Stegostoma tigrinum: one gene and its partners. The protein of the gene in region 1 interacts with the protein of each later gene in a pairwise test. Links are inferred from orthologs where the notes say so. Each region holds a gene or a part of one and is shown on either strand. Other genes may lie near its edges.

Region 1 (3,751 bases):
GAGTGTGTGTGGGGGGGGGAGTGTGTGTGGGGGGGGGAGTGTGATGTGGGGGGGGGGGGAGTGTGGTGTGTTGGGGGAGGAGTGTGTGGGTGGAGAGTGTGTGGGTGGAGAGTGTGGGGTGGAGAGTGTGTGGGTGGAGAGTGTGTGGGTGGGGGGGTGTGGTGTGTGGGGGTGTGTGTGTGGGGGGGGGGGTGTGTGTGTGTGGTGGGGGGGGGTGTGTGTGTGTGGTGGGGGGGGAGTGTGTGTGTGGTGGGGGGGTGTGTGTGTTGGGGGAGGAGTGTGTGTTGGGGGAGGAGGTGTGTGGGTGGGGGGTGTGTGGGTGGGGGGGGTGTGTGTGTGTGGGGGGGGGGAGTGTGTGTGTGGGGGGGGGGGGGTGTGTGTGTGGGGGGGGGGAGTGTGTGTGTGGGGGGGGGGGGAGTGTGTGTGGGGGGGGGAGGTGTGTTGGGGGGGGGAGTGTGTGTTGGGGGGGGAGCGTGTGTTTGGGGGGGGAGCGTGTGTTGGGGGGGGGAGCGTGTGTTGGGGGGGTGGGAGCGTGTGTTGGGGGGGGGAGCGTGTGTTGGGGGGGGGGAGCGTGTGTTGGGGGGGGGGGGAGCGTGTGTTGGGGGGGAGCGTGTGTTGGGGGGGGTGTGTGTGTTGGGGGGGGGAGCGTGTGTGTTGGGGGGGGGGAGCGTGTGTGTTGGGGGGGGGAGCGTGTGTGTTGGGGGGGGAGCGTGTGTTGGGGGGGAGCGTGTGTTTGGGGGGGGGAGCGTGTGTTGGGGGGGGAGCGTGTGTTGGGGGGGGAGGCAGGTGTGTTGGGGGGGGGAGCGTGTGTTGGGGGGGGGAGCGTGTGTTGGGGGGGGGAGTGTGTGTGTTGGGGGGGGGAGTGTGTGTTGGGGGGGGGGAGTGTGTGTTGGGGGGGGGAGTGTGTGTTGGGGGGGGGAGTGTGTGTTGGGGGGGAGTGTGTGTTGGGGGGGGAGTGTGTGTTGGGGGGGGAGTGTGTGTTGGGGGGGGGGAGTGTGTGTTGGGGGGGGGGAGTGTGTGTTGGGGGGGGGAGTGTGTGTTGGGGGGGGGGGAGCGTGTGTTGGGGGGGGAGCGTGTGTTGGGGGGGGGAGCGTGTGTTGGGGGGGGGAGTGTGTGTGTTGGGGGGGGGAGTGTGTGTTGGGGGGGGAGTGTGTGTTGGGGGGGGGAGTGTGTGTTGGGGGGGGAGTGTGTGTTGGGGGGGGAAGTGTGTGTTGGGGGGGGAGTGTGTGTTGGGGGGGGGGAGTGTGTGTTGGGGGGGGGGGAGTGTGTGTTGGGGGGGGGAGCGTGTGTGTTGGGGGGGAGCGTGTGTTGGGGGGGGAGCGTGTGTTGGGGGGGGGGAGTGTGTGTTGGGGGGGGGGGAGTGTGTGTTGGGGGGGGAGTGTGTGTTGGGGGGGGGGAGTGTGTGTTGGGGGGGGAGCGTGTGTTGGGGGGGAGTGTGTGTTGGGGGGGGGAGTGTGTGTTGGGGGGGGGGGGGAGTGTGTGTTGGGGGGGGAGTGTGTGTTGGGGGGGGGGGAGTGTGTGTTGGGGGGGGAGTGTGTGTTGGGGGGGGGAGTGTGTGTTGGGGGGGGGGAGTGTGTGTTGGGGGGGGAGCGTGTGTTGGGGGGGAGTGTGTGTTGGGGGGGGGAGTGTGTGTTTGGGGGGGGGGAGTGTGTGTTGGGGGGGGAGTGTGTGTTGGGGGGGGGGGGAGTGTGTGTTGGGGGGGGAGTGTGTGTTGGGGGGGGGGGAGTGTGTGTTGTGGGGGGGGGGAGTGTGTGGGGGGGAGTGTGTGTGTGTGGGTAATTGGTGGGGAGTGTCGCAGGTTCTGAGGACACACACGGAGGGAAAACGCGAGTGGGTGCGGTGGGGGGGGGAATAGGGAACCACCTTCACCCCAGCTCCTGGCTCACACCCCCAAGCTTCCCCCACCACCCCCCCGTCCCGCGGCCTACTCCCTCAGGCCTGGCTCCGGGCCCTCACTCCCTCCTGCGGCCCGTGGCGCACTCACCCTGGTTCCCGATCCCGCTCCGGGCTCTCCGCCGCCTCGGAAGTGGAGCAGCCGGGACGAGGGTGTTGGTGCAGCTCCCTGCCGGCGGTGATGAACAGGCCCGTGTCTCGCCACCCACCGGCCGCTCTCTCTGTGACCGTCTCCGCGCTCGGCACCGTCCCCGAGAAGCAGTGCGCCTGCGCACTCCCCGCCAGGCCCCCTCCGGCAACCATGGAGACCGCGGCTGCCCCGCTCCCGCCTGCCTGCACACTCACTGTCTCTGCCTGTACACACTCACAGCCTGCACACGCTCACATTCACTGCCTGTACACACTCACAGCCTGTATAGTCATGCTCACTGCCTGTACACACTCAGCCTGTGCCCAGTCATTTTCCTCACACACTGACAGTCTGTGTACAGTCATTGCCCGTACACACTCATTGCCTGTTCACACTCTCAGCCTATACACAGTGACTGTCTGCGCATATGCACCACCTGTACACACTAACAGCCTGTGCATGTCACACTCAGTCTGTACAATCACGCTCACCGTCAGTACACACTGCATGTACACAGCTACAGCTTGTACACACACAGCGACAGTTTGTACACACACACACTACCTGCTCAGATTCACACTCACAGTTTATACACACTCACTGCATGTACACATTCACAGTCTCCACACCCTTGCAGCAGATATACTGTCACAGCCAGTACATCCTCACAGTCTGTACACACTTACTAACTGTGGACACAGTCTGTACACACTCACAGCATGTACACAGTCACTGCCAGTACATGCTCACAGCTGTACACAATCTGTCTGTACACTTTCCAGACTGTACATACACACTGCATGTACACACTCACTGCCTGTTCACAGTCTGTACACACTTACTGACTATAACTCCCTGCCTTATGCACTCACTTTCACTGACTGTATACACTCACTGTATGGACACACTGCCTTTACAGAGGCACACTCACATTCTGTACACACTCATTACATGTACTCACACAGCCTGAATACACTGCCTGTACACAGTCACAGTCTGTACAGTGTCACTGTCTGTACATGCTCACTGCCTGTACACTATCACTGACTGTATACTCTCACTGCCTGTACACAGCCACAGCCTGTACACAGTCACAATCTGTGCACACACAGTCTGCACACTGTCACATTCTGTACACTGTCACAGTCTATAAACACTCACTGCCTGTACACACATTCTGTTTGCACCCGCAGCAAGTACAGTCACAATCTGTGCACACACAGTTGGTACACTGTCACAGTCTGCACACACACTCACTGCCTTTACACAGTCTGCCTGTACACATTCCCTGACTGGACATACTCACAGTCTGTACACAGTCACACTCATACTGTGATATAGCCATATTCTGTACACAGTCTGAGTGCACACATTCACTTCCTGTTCACAGTCTGTGCACCCTCATTGACTGTACACACTGCTTGTACACAATCACTGTATGTACACACTCACTGCCTGTACATAGTCACTGTCTTCAACAATTACAGTCACTGTATGTGTGCAGCAACTGTCTATACACAATCATAGTAACCTACTGTACACAGTCACTGTCAGTCTGTACACATTCACTGTTTGTACACAGCCACTATGTGTCCACAGTCACACTTACTGTTTGTAGTTGTAGAGTTGTACAGCACAGAAACTGACCCTTCAAACTCACTGACCATATTCAGTCACTGTCTGTACTCAGTCACATTAACTGTACACAGTTGCTATCTGTATACACTA
Region 2 (3,751 bases), on another chromosome or scaffold:
TGGTGTCTGAGTACTTGAGGCTAGATCTGGTATTAGTGGATTAAACTGAATAAATTAATTTAAGAATCCACTGGCAGAGGTGCTGCAACAGAAAATAATGCAGTGGGAGCCTGAAGATCCTTGTGATCCTGAAAAGCAACAAACAACCCTGTAGTCTGACCACAGAAACAATGAAAACAGGTTAAATTGCAAAAACAGCCTGACAAGATGACTTGGGAATGTTTTAGGAACACTGAAACGAATTAGACATATTATTTGTCTTCACGCCACAGAGATGGCTTATTCTTACTGCATCCACAGTTCTTTCGGTTTTTATTTAGGCTTATTCTTAGACTTGTTTGCCAAACCAGAGTTACTACCACATTTGATAAGCCATGGCAGAACTGAAGTCCATCACCTGCCAGCAGCATAAAATTACTCCTGAGATTTTCTGTTCTTCCAGAACCGGGCAAAGCTAATTTCACAGAATTTCTCCCAGTTCAATCGCCTTCAGCCATATCCAGTCATATCACCTGCAATTAAAAAAAATCAATATGATAAAATTGATTCATTTCTCAAAGAATGCACTTCCACCATGTGTGCACAACCTGAATCTGTATCAGGAAATGAAAATACTACAGTGTTACAGGCTCTGCTTCCTCTCCAGGCAGGAGACATCTTTCTATCAGTAGAAAATTGCAACCCCCAGGAGCCTGTTCCAGTAATTCAGCCATGCACTATGGAAACACTTACTTTAAATAGGTCACAGAAAAATGGTTCCACAGTATTCTTGATAACAGAATGGCTTAAATAGCTTCTGTAAACCTTTTTGGTCGAGCTGGGATTTTCTTTGTGTTAACTGTTTCCTCCTCTTTCGAGTACTTTCATTTGGAAGGATGCATACGGACCTTCCAAGCTGTCTTGTTGACCCTTTTCTGGTATGTTAACACATCCTGCGCTGCTCTAGCACTAATATTTGTGCAACAAAGAAAGCATTTAATCAATTGGCATGGGTCTGTAACCATAGGCTCTATTCAACCATTACCAATAGGTTTAAAGATGCCATCTTACTGCAGATCTTAAACTCTACTGCAACTCTCTTGAATCCTTTGCTTTAACCATATTGCTAACCACCCCCACCCCAAACACAAGTAGTGTCAAAGTCTCCAACAAGATTAGGTCCACACTCTGGAACTTACCTTCTTAAACCCCCCTATTTAATTTTTAACATTTAAACATTCGAAGCACCTTGGATGCTTTCCCCGTGAAACCACTGCGAATGTGAGCAAGACCCTTTTCGGCACCAGCAAAAGTAGTTATAACTAAGAAATAAAAGCAAACTACTGCTGGAGTTCTGAAGAAGTCATATTGGATTCTCATTATAACCAAGAACCAATGCAGAGCAGACACCTTCTTGAATGGACTCTCGGGAAACTTCTCCCCGAGGTAATTATTTCCACATCAAAACCTTTAAACCTGGAGTCAAAATTTCCAAACTAATTCTTCGTCTATCACAAAGTATCTGCACCATTTATGTGGTCTTCTTTAAACACTGTTGTCTATTTATTGACCTTTGCTGCTGTTCTTGTCTCCCCATATTCTTCCCTCTTGCTACCCCTTTCTGTGTTTATTTCCAATTCTCTGGATTCCTCATCTTTTCCTCCTCTCCTCCTACTGTTCATTTTCTACTGCATCCTGGATCTGCACAACTCCAGTCATGCCACCTGGATTCCTGGAGGTCTCTCCACCTTGCCCTTCCTCCGGACGCTGGTCATCTTGTCTCTTCCTCGTGATCACACCCTCCCCCATTCATCATCCCCATTCACCTTCCCCCAACGACCACCCCCATTCTGCTCTCCCTCAGTGATCACCCCCAGTGATGACCTGCCATCCCACACCATCAATGATCTTCCCCAATGACCACCCCCAATTCCCCTCTCCCTCAGTGATCTCCCCCCATGATTACCTGCCATTCCCCTCTCCTTCGGTGATCTCCCCCAATGACCACCCCATTCCCCTCTCCCTCGGTGATCTCCCCCAGTGATTACCAGCCATTCCACCCCCTCAGTGATCTCCCCCAATGACCCACCCCCATTCCGCTCTCCCACAGTGATCTCCTCCAGCGACCAGCCATTTCCCACCTCAGTGATCTCCCCCAATGACCACCCCATTCCCCTCTCCCACGGTGATCTCCCCCATTGATTACCAGCCATCCCACCCCCTCAGCCATCTCCTCCGAACCCAGTGATCAACCCCAACCCCTCCCTCAGCGACTAACCCAGTGATCATCCCATTCTACCCCCCCTCAGCGATCTTCCTCAGTGATCACCCCGAGATGTACAGCCTTGACGACCAATTGCAGGGTTTTCATCTTTAACATAAAACACAGAACATTTCATCTTTACCAGGATCATTCCCGATCCCATCTCTCCGCGTTTTGCCGGCCGGCCGGCCCTTTCCTCACCCAGATGAGGGGATGGGAGATTGTGTAGAGGAGCTAGGGGTCAGGCCGCAGCTCCAAGGCCCGAGCCCCAGCCGAGCTCTTACCGCCCTCCAGCCGCGGCTCCTACTGGACTACAACACCCACAATGCACGGCCTGACGCATGCGCGCGTAGTGAAAGCTCACGTGACATCTTTCAACAGCTGATCCTCACCCTCCCATACCAAAACCTCCCCAACCCCCAAACCCCGCCTACCATCACCTTCCCCACCCCCTAAAGACCCCCTACCAACACTTCCCTCCCCCAAACCCCTCCCATCATCACCTTCCCCACCCCCTAAAGCCCCCCTACCAACACCTCCCCACCCCCAAAACCCTTCCCACCATCACCTTCCCCATCCCCTAAAGCCCCCCTACCAACACCTCCCCATCCCCTAATCCCCTCCTACCATCACCTTCCCCACCCCCTAAAGCCCTCCCACCATCACCTTCCCCACCCCCTAAAGCCCCCCTACACACCTCCTAGCATCACCTTCCCCATCCCCTAAAGCCCCCTACCAACACCTCCCCACCCCCTAAACCCCTCCTTCCATCACCTTCCCCACCCCCTAAAACCTCCCTACCAACACCTCCCTCCCCCAAACCCCTCCCACCATCAACTTCCCCACCCCCTAAAGCCCCCCTACCAACACTTCCCTCCCCCAAACCCCTCCCACCATCACCTTCCCCACCCCCTAAAGCCCCCCTACCAACACCTCCCCACCCCAAACCCCTCCCACCATCACCTTCCCCACCCCTAAAGCCCCCTACCAACACCTCCCCACCCCCCAAACCCCTCCCACCATCACCTTCCCCACCCCCTAAAGCCCCCCTACCAACACCTCCCTCCCCCAAACCCCTCCCACCATCACCTTCCCCACCCCCTAAAGCCCCCCTACCAACACTTCCCTCCCCCAAACCCCTCCCACCATCACCTTCCCCACCCCCTAAAGCCCCCCTACCAACACCTCCCCACCCCCAAACCCCTCCCACCATCACCTTCCCCACCCTAAAAGCCCCCCTACCAACACCTCCTCACCCCCAAACCCCTCCCACTATCACCTTCCCCACCCCCTAAAGCCCCCCCTACCAACACCTCACCACCCTTTAAACCCCACCGACCATCACCTTCCCCAACCCCTAAAGCCCCCCTACCAACACCTCCCCACCCCCAAAACCCCTCCCACCATCACCTTTCCCATCCCCTAAAGCCCCCCTACCAACACCTCCCCACCCCCTAAATCCTTCCCACCATCACCTTCCCCATCCCCTAAAGCCCCCCTACACCCTTC
Region 3 (3,751 bases), on another chromosome or scaffold:
AGCAAAACAGGGAAAGTGGTCACATGTTTTGATCTGGTACTTTCTAGGGACTAGCATTCAACCTCTCCTGAGACTGCATGTACACCTTACAATAGAAAGAGAAAGGCACTGAAGCAACTAACTGGTACTTTCTGTCATAAACATACAGCTAAATTACTACAAAGGGTCAGATTTGTTTCAGTGATATTAGTTTAGAGATATAATGTCAACACAACATAAGAATCTCTACTGCCATCCTTTTTTAAATTGCTCCCATTTTAATAGGGCAGAAGGGCATGGCTTGGTTTTGCATTTCAGAGTCACCACGTCATATAGTCCACTGCTGCATTGGACTGTCAGCCTAGGTTCAGCAACCAGGTCTCTCAAACTGGTACTCATCCCACAATCTTGTGGCTCAGAGGCAGTGGAACATGGCTAACCCGCACCTACTCTCATTTAATCATTTCAAGCTTGAGAAACACCAAGACAGAATGTTCTAGAGCACAAAGTAAAAACACAACTGCAAGGCGAAACAGAAAACTAACTAGGGAAATGACTCATCACCCACTTGGTGAGCAGTTACAATTTTTACAGGTATAAAATTCAACAACAGGAATCAGATCATTCACAGTAAATCTCAGAAGTAGTCTGAGTTATATTTTGCAAATTGTACTTTTGAGTTTTTGAAAAGGAATTACAAACTGATTCTCAAGGTGGTTTTAGATCATCAAGATCTAACCACCATCCCATTGCCACTGACACACACCAATATATTGTCAGCCAATACATAATCAGCACCTAAAATCAGACATGATTGACAACATTGGACTTATCCTCTTGGAAGAAAACAAAAATATAATATAGAAAATCTTTTTTTCTGCAAATAAGCATTTTCTTACTTCCTCGATTTATTTCCAGTGATCTATAGGTGGCGCATTGTGAAAGGCTTCCCAGATTCTGCTCATACTACATAGTGACACATGGTGTCACCCATGTCCAAGAATGGAGAAAGCTGTAGATCTTTCCATATTAAGCCTATAGCATTACCAAAAGAAAGGCAGCTCATGAGGGTCATGACACTGGAGACTTTCCACTGAATTCAAAAGTCACACTGTTTCTTTTTGTTTCAGTTACAATTTTCCCAGTTCATTGTAGCAGTAAGCAAATAAAATACTACATACTTGTAGTGAAATAAGCGAATATTGTGAAGTAAGATGAAATCATCTAATGCTTTAATTCTGCCCAGTTGCAAGTGAGCAGATATAGTCATGCAAGACTGCCCTGCAGTCTGGTTTAAACTGAACTATATTCATAATTAAAAACCAAAACAAAATAGAAGCTTGTTGGGTCACCTATCCTCTCGCACCCCCATAGGTCTGCCTTACCTGCTGAATGTTTCCAGCATTTCCTGCTATCATATCAGATTTCCACTATCAACAGTATTACACAATTGAACCATAGAATCTGAACTAAATTACAGCAATTGAAGATAATCATCAAGCACCTAAACAGGTAGTTCAAATTGTACAAGATGAACTTTCATACTAATTCATTTAGAAGCTAGCCTAGAAATAGGTGAAGAACTCTTAAGGAGAAAGAAATTAAATGAAATAAAAGTCTATAAGATATTTATATCAAATAAGTGACACCATGGAAGCATATTACAGATGTTAGAGAGGTCTTGTATTCTTGACCCCTGCCAAGCCACAAATCCACATTAAAAAGGTGTGGGGGTAGAGGAACCCAGTGCCCAACAAGTTGTCATCTCACTTCTGACTTCAACCACTAGCTATGCACACCAGCAGCTACATTTCAGGAATCTCGACTTGGCAACTGTGCAGAACGAAGCAAAGGGACCCATCAGCTACAGCTGGCGTGATGCAAGAATGCCACTCCTTCAAGGTGCACAAAGACTGACAATGAACAGGTATAGCGTAACAGGCAGATCTGAACACACCAGGACGACAAATGGGTCACAACACAGTTGAATACATGTGGACATACACACAGCACAGTCATGGCACTCACGGCAAGTTACCAGACAGCAGTAAAGAGCCTGGGTACCTCTCACTTGTGCTCTCTTACACATAGATATCACAGTCCATAGTTAGTCATGGAACAGCACAACCAAATTTGGCATACCATGACAGATATGGACACAGTTAAGCATAGAATAGCATAGCCACATGCAACATTCCATAACACCAAACGTGTCCAGAGTTAGTCATAGCCAACTGTGGAATGTGGCAAATTAGCTAGCTACAAACCAGAGGAAGTGAAAGAAGCTAACGTGGCTTCTGTAAGGCAGAAAGGATGGGGAAGGAATTCGACTGAGCTGAAATCGGGTGGAGCGGGCTGGTTGTCAGAGGGAGCACCAAAAAAGTTCCTGAAATTCCAAAAGAAGGAATCTGAAGTTGCCGGGCTTGGAGGTTTTGATGGGGGTTCCGCGCCTGCGCACTAAGGGTTGCCCAGTGTGGCGGGGGGCAATATTTCGCAAAGCAGAGCCGGAGCCCGGCTCGTGGGAGAGACTGAAAGAGAGGCCCAAGGCTCCAACTTGTATTGGCTCTGAAACCGCTGCTGGCTCCCTACCCCCCCCGAACCCCCAACCAACATCACTCGCCGTGTCAGCTCGGACCGGGCCCGTCACCCTCACCGTCAGAGTCCAAACGACAAAATGCATTTTTCTTTAAAAAAAACACAAAATTAACCCACGGAACAAAACCGACCGGTAATTCGCAGGGAGGAGAGGAGAGTGGGGTGAGGGTCGAGAGTTGTGGACTCACGGGCAGCCTGGGGAGAATCTCGGCCGAGCAGCGGTGACAGAAATAGCGAGAGAGTGAGGAAGCCTCCGCCATATTCACGTAAAGCCGCCACAGTGACGTACAATACGGGTGCCCCGGCGTATCCAACATATGACCTCACACGCCAATTGTGACGCACTTGGATCTGTCAATCACCGGAGAGCGGAGGGTCTGTTGTTATTCGCGACCCACTCGTGTGTCTTAACTCTGGGTGTGTTTTTATATAATGACCGCTGACCTGGGCTTTCTTACCCGATTCGCCTTCTTCCCCTCCCGTTGGTCATGGCGACAGTGAGGAGCCGCCACTACCGACTCTGACAGGGACAACCGGCTTGGCGCCTTCTGCTTGTCTTCCTCCACGGGCCGCCGCCGGGGCCTGTTCAACCTCGCTGGGCCCAGGCTCCAAGTGTGAACCATTGTAGGCCCCTCGTTCCACCCCCCACACCATCGAGCCGGTCCTGCCATTCAATAAGATCGGAGGCTGGCTATATTTCAACCTCCTGCGCATCCCCAGCGGTCTTTCACCCTCTTCATTCGGTCTAACCAGTGGTATTCGAACGCTCCCAACAGCAGGTGGTTTTACATTGGCAACATCAAACTGTTCATTTAGCAATGATCCCGACCTTCCTAGTTGCCGTTTCAATAACCCTCCTTGCACTCCTGCTAGCCTTTCAGGCCTGGGCTTGGTACAGTGTTCCAATGAAGTACAATCCCAGGAACCACACTTCACTTTCCACTTCGGCAGTTTACAACTGCGAGGACTCATTATTGAATTCCACGACTTCAGACGCCCGACCTCATGCTGTCTGCTGTCCGTTTCCCTTACATTCTTCCCCCTTCTCCCCAGTAACACAGTCAAGTCTCGTTTGTGTTTTATTCACTTAACTGTCGGCAGGGAGGACCCTTTTTCTCCCTTTCAGTTCTCAATTCATATCAATTTTTACGTCTCCATTTCTTTTCAATGACAATTA

What was found.
Region 2: the proteins of large proline-rich protein BAG6-like (region 1) and klhl12 interact in binary tests that used the Homo sapiens proteins (3 or more experiments, as listed by UniProt). The two-hybrid records come from large-scale screens. The link is inferred for Stegostoma tigrinum from reciprocal best matches to the Homo sapiens genes BAG6 and KLHL12.
Region 3: the proteins of large proline-rich protein BAG6-like (region 1) and rnf126 interact in binary tests that used the Homo sapiens proteins (3 or more experiments, as listed by UniProt). The link is inferred for Stegostoma tigrinum from reciprocal best matches to the Homo sapiens genes BAG6 and RNF126.

The regions. Positions count from the first base shown.
Region 1 is NC_081387.1:19,777,648-19,781,398, forward strand, and holds the start of large proline-rich protein BAG6-like, read right to left. Parts: upstream 2,342-3,751; 5' UTR 1,985-2,341; intron 1-1,984. UniProt on the Homo sapiens protein: ATP-independent molecular chaperone preventing the aggregation of misfolded and hydrophobic patches-containing proteins.
Region 2 is NC_081374.1:45,325,014-45,328,764, forward strand, and holds the start of klhl12 (kelch-like protein 12), read right to left. Parts: upstream 2,565-3,751; 5' UTR 2,385-2,564; intron 513-2,384; 5' UTR 398-512; intron 1-397. UniProt on the Homo sapiens protein: Substrate-specific adapter of a BCR (BTB-CUL3-RBX1) E3 ubiquitin ligase complex that acts as a negative regulator of Wnt signaling pathway and ER-Golgi transport.
Region 3 is NC_081383.1:14,959,118-14,962,868, forward strand, and holds the start of rnf126 (E3 ubiquitin-protein ligase RNF126), read right to left. Parts: upstream 2,878-3,751; 5' UTR 2,835-2,877; coding exon 2,763-2,834; exon of another isoform or gene 2,481-2,762; intron 1-2,480. UniProt on the Homo sapiens protein: E3 ubiquitin-protein ligase that mediates ubiquitination oF target proteins. Depending on the associated E2 ligase, mediates 'Lys-27'-, 'Lys-29'-, 'Lys-48'- and/or 'Lys-63'-linked polyubiquitination of substrates.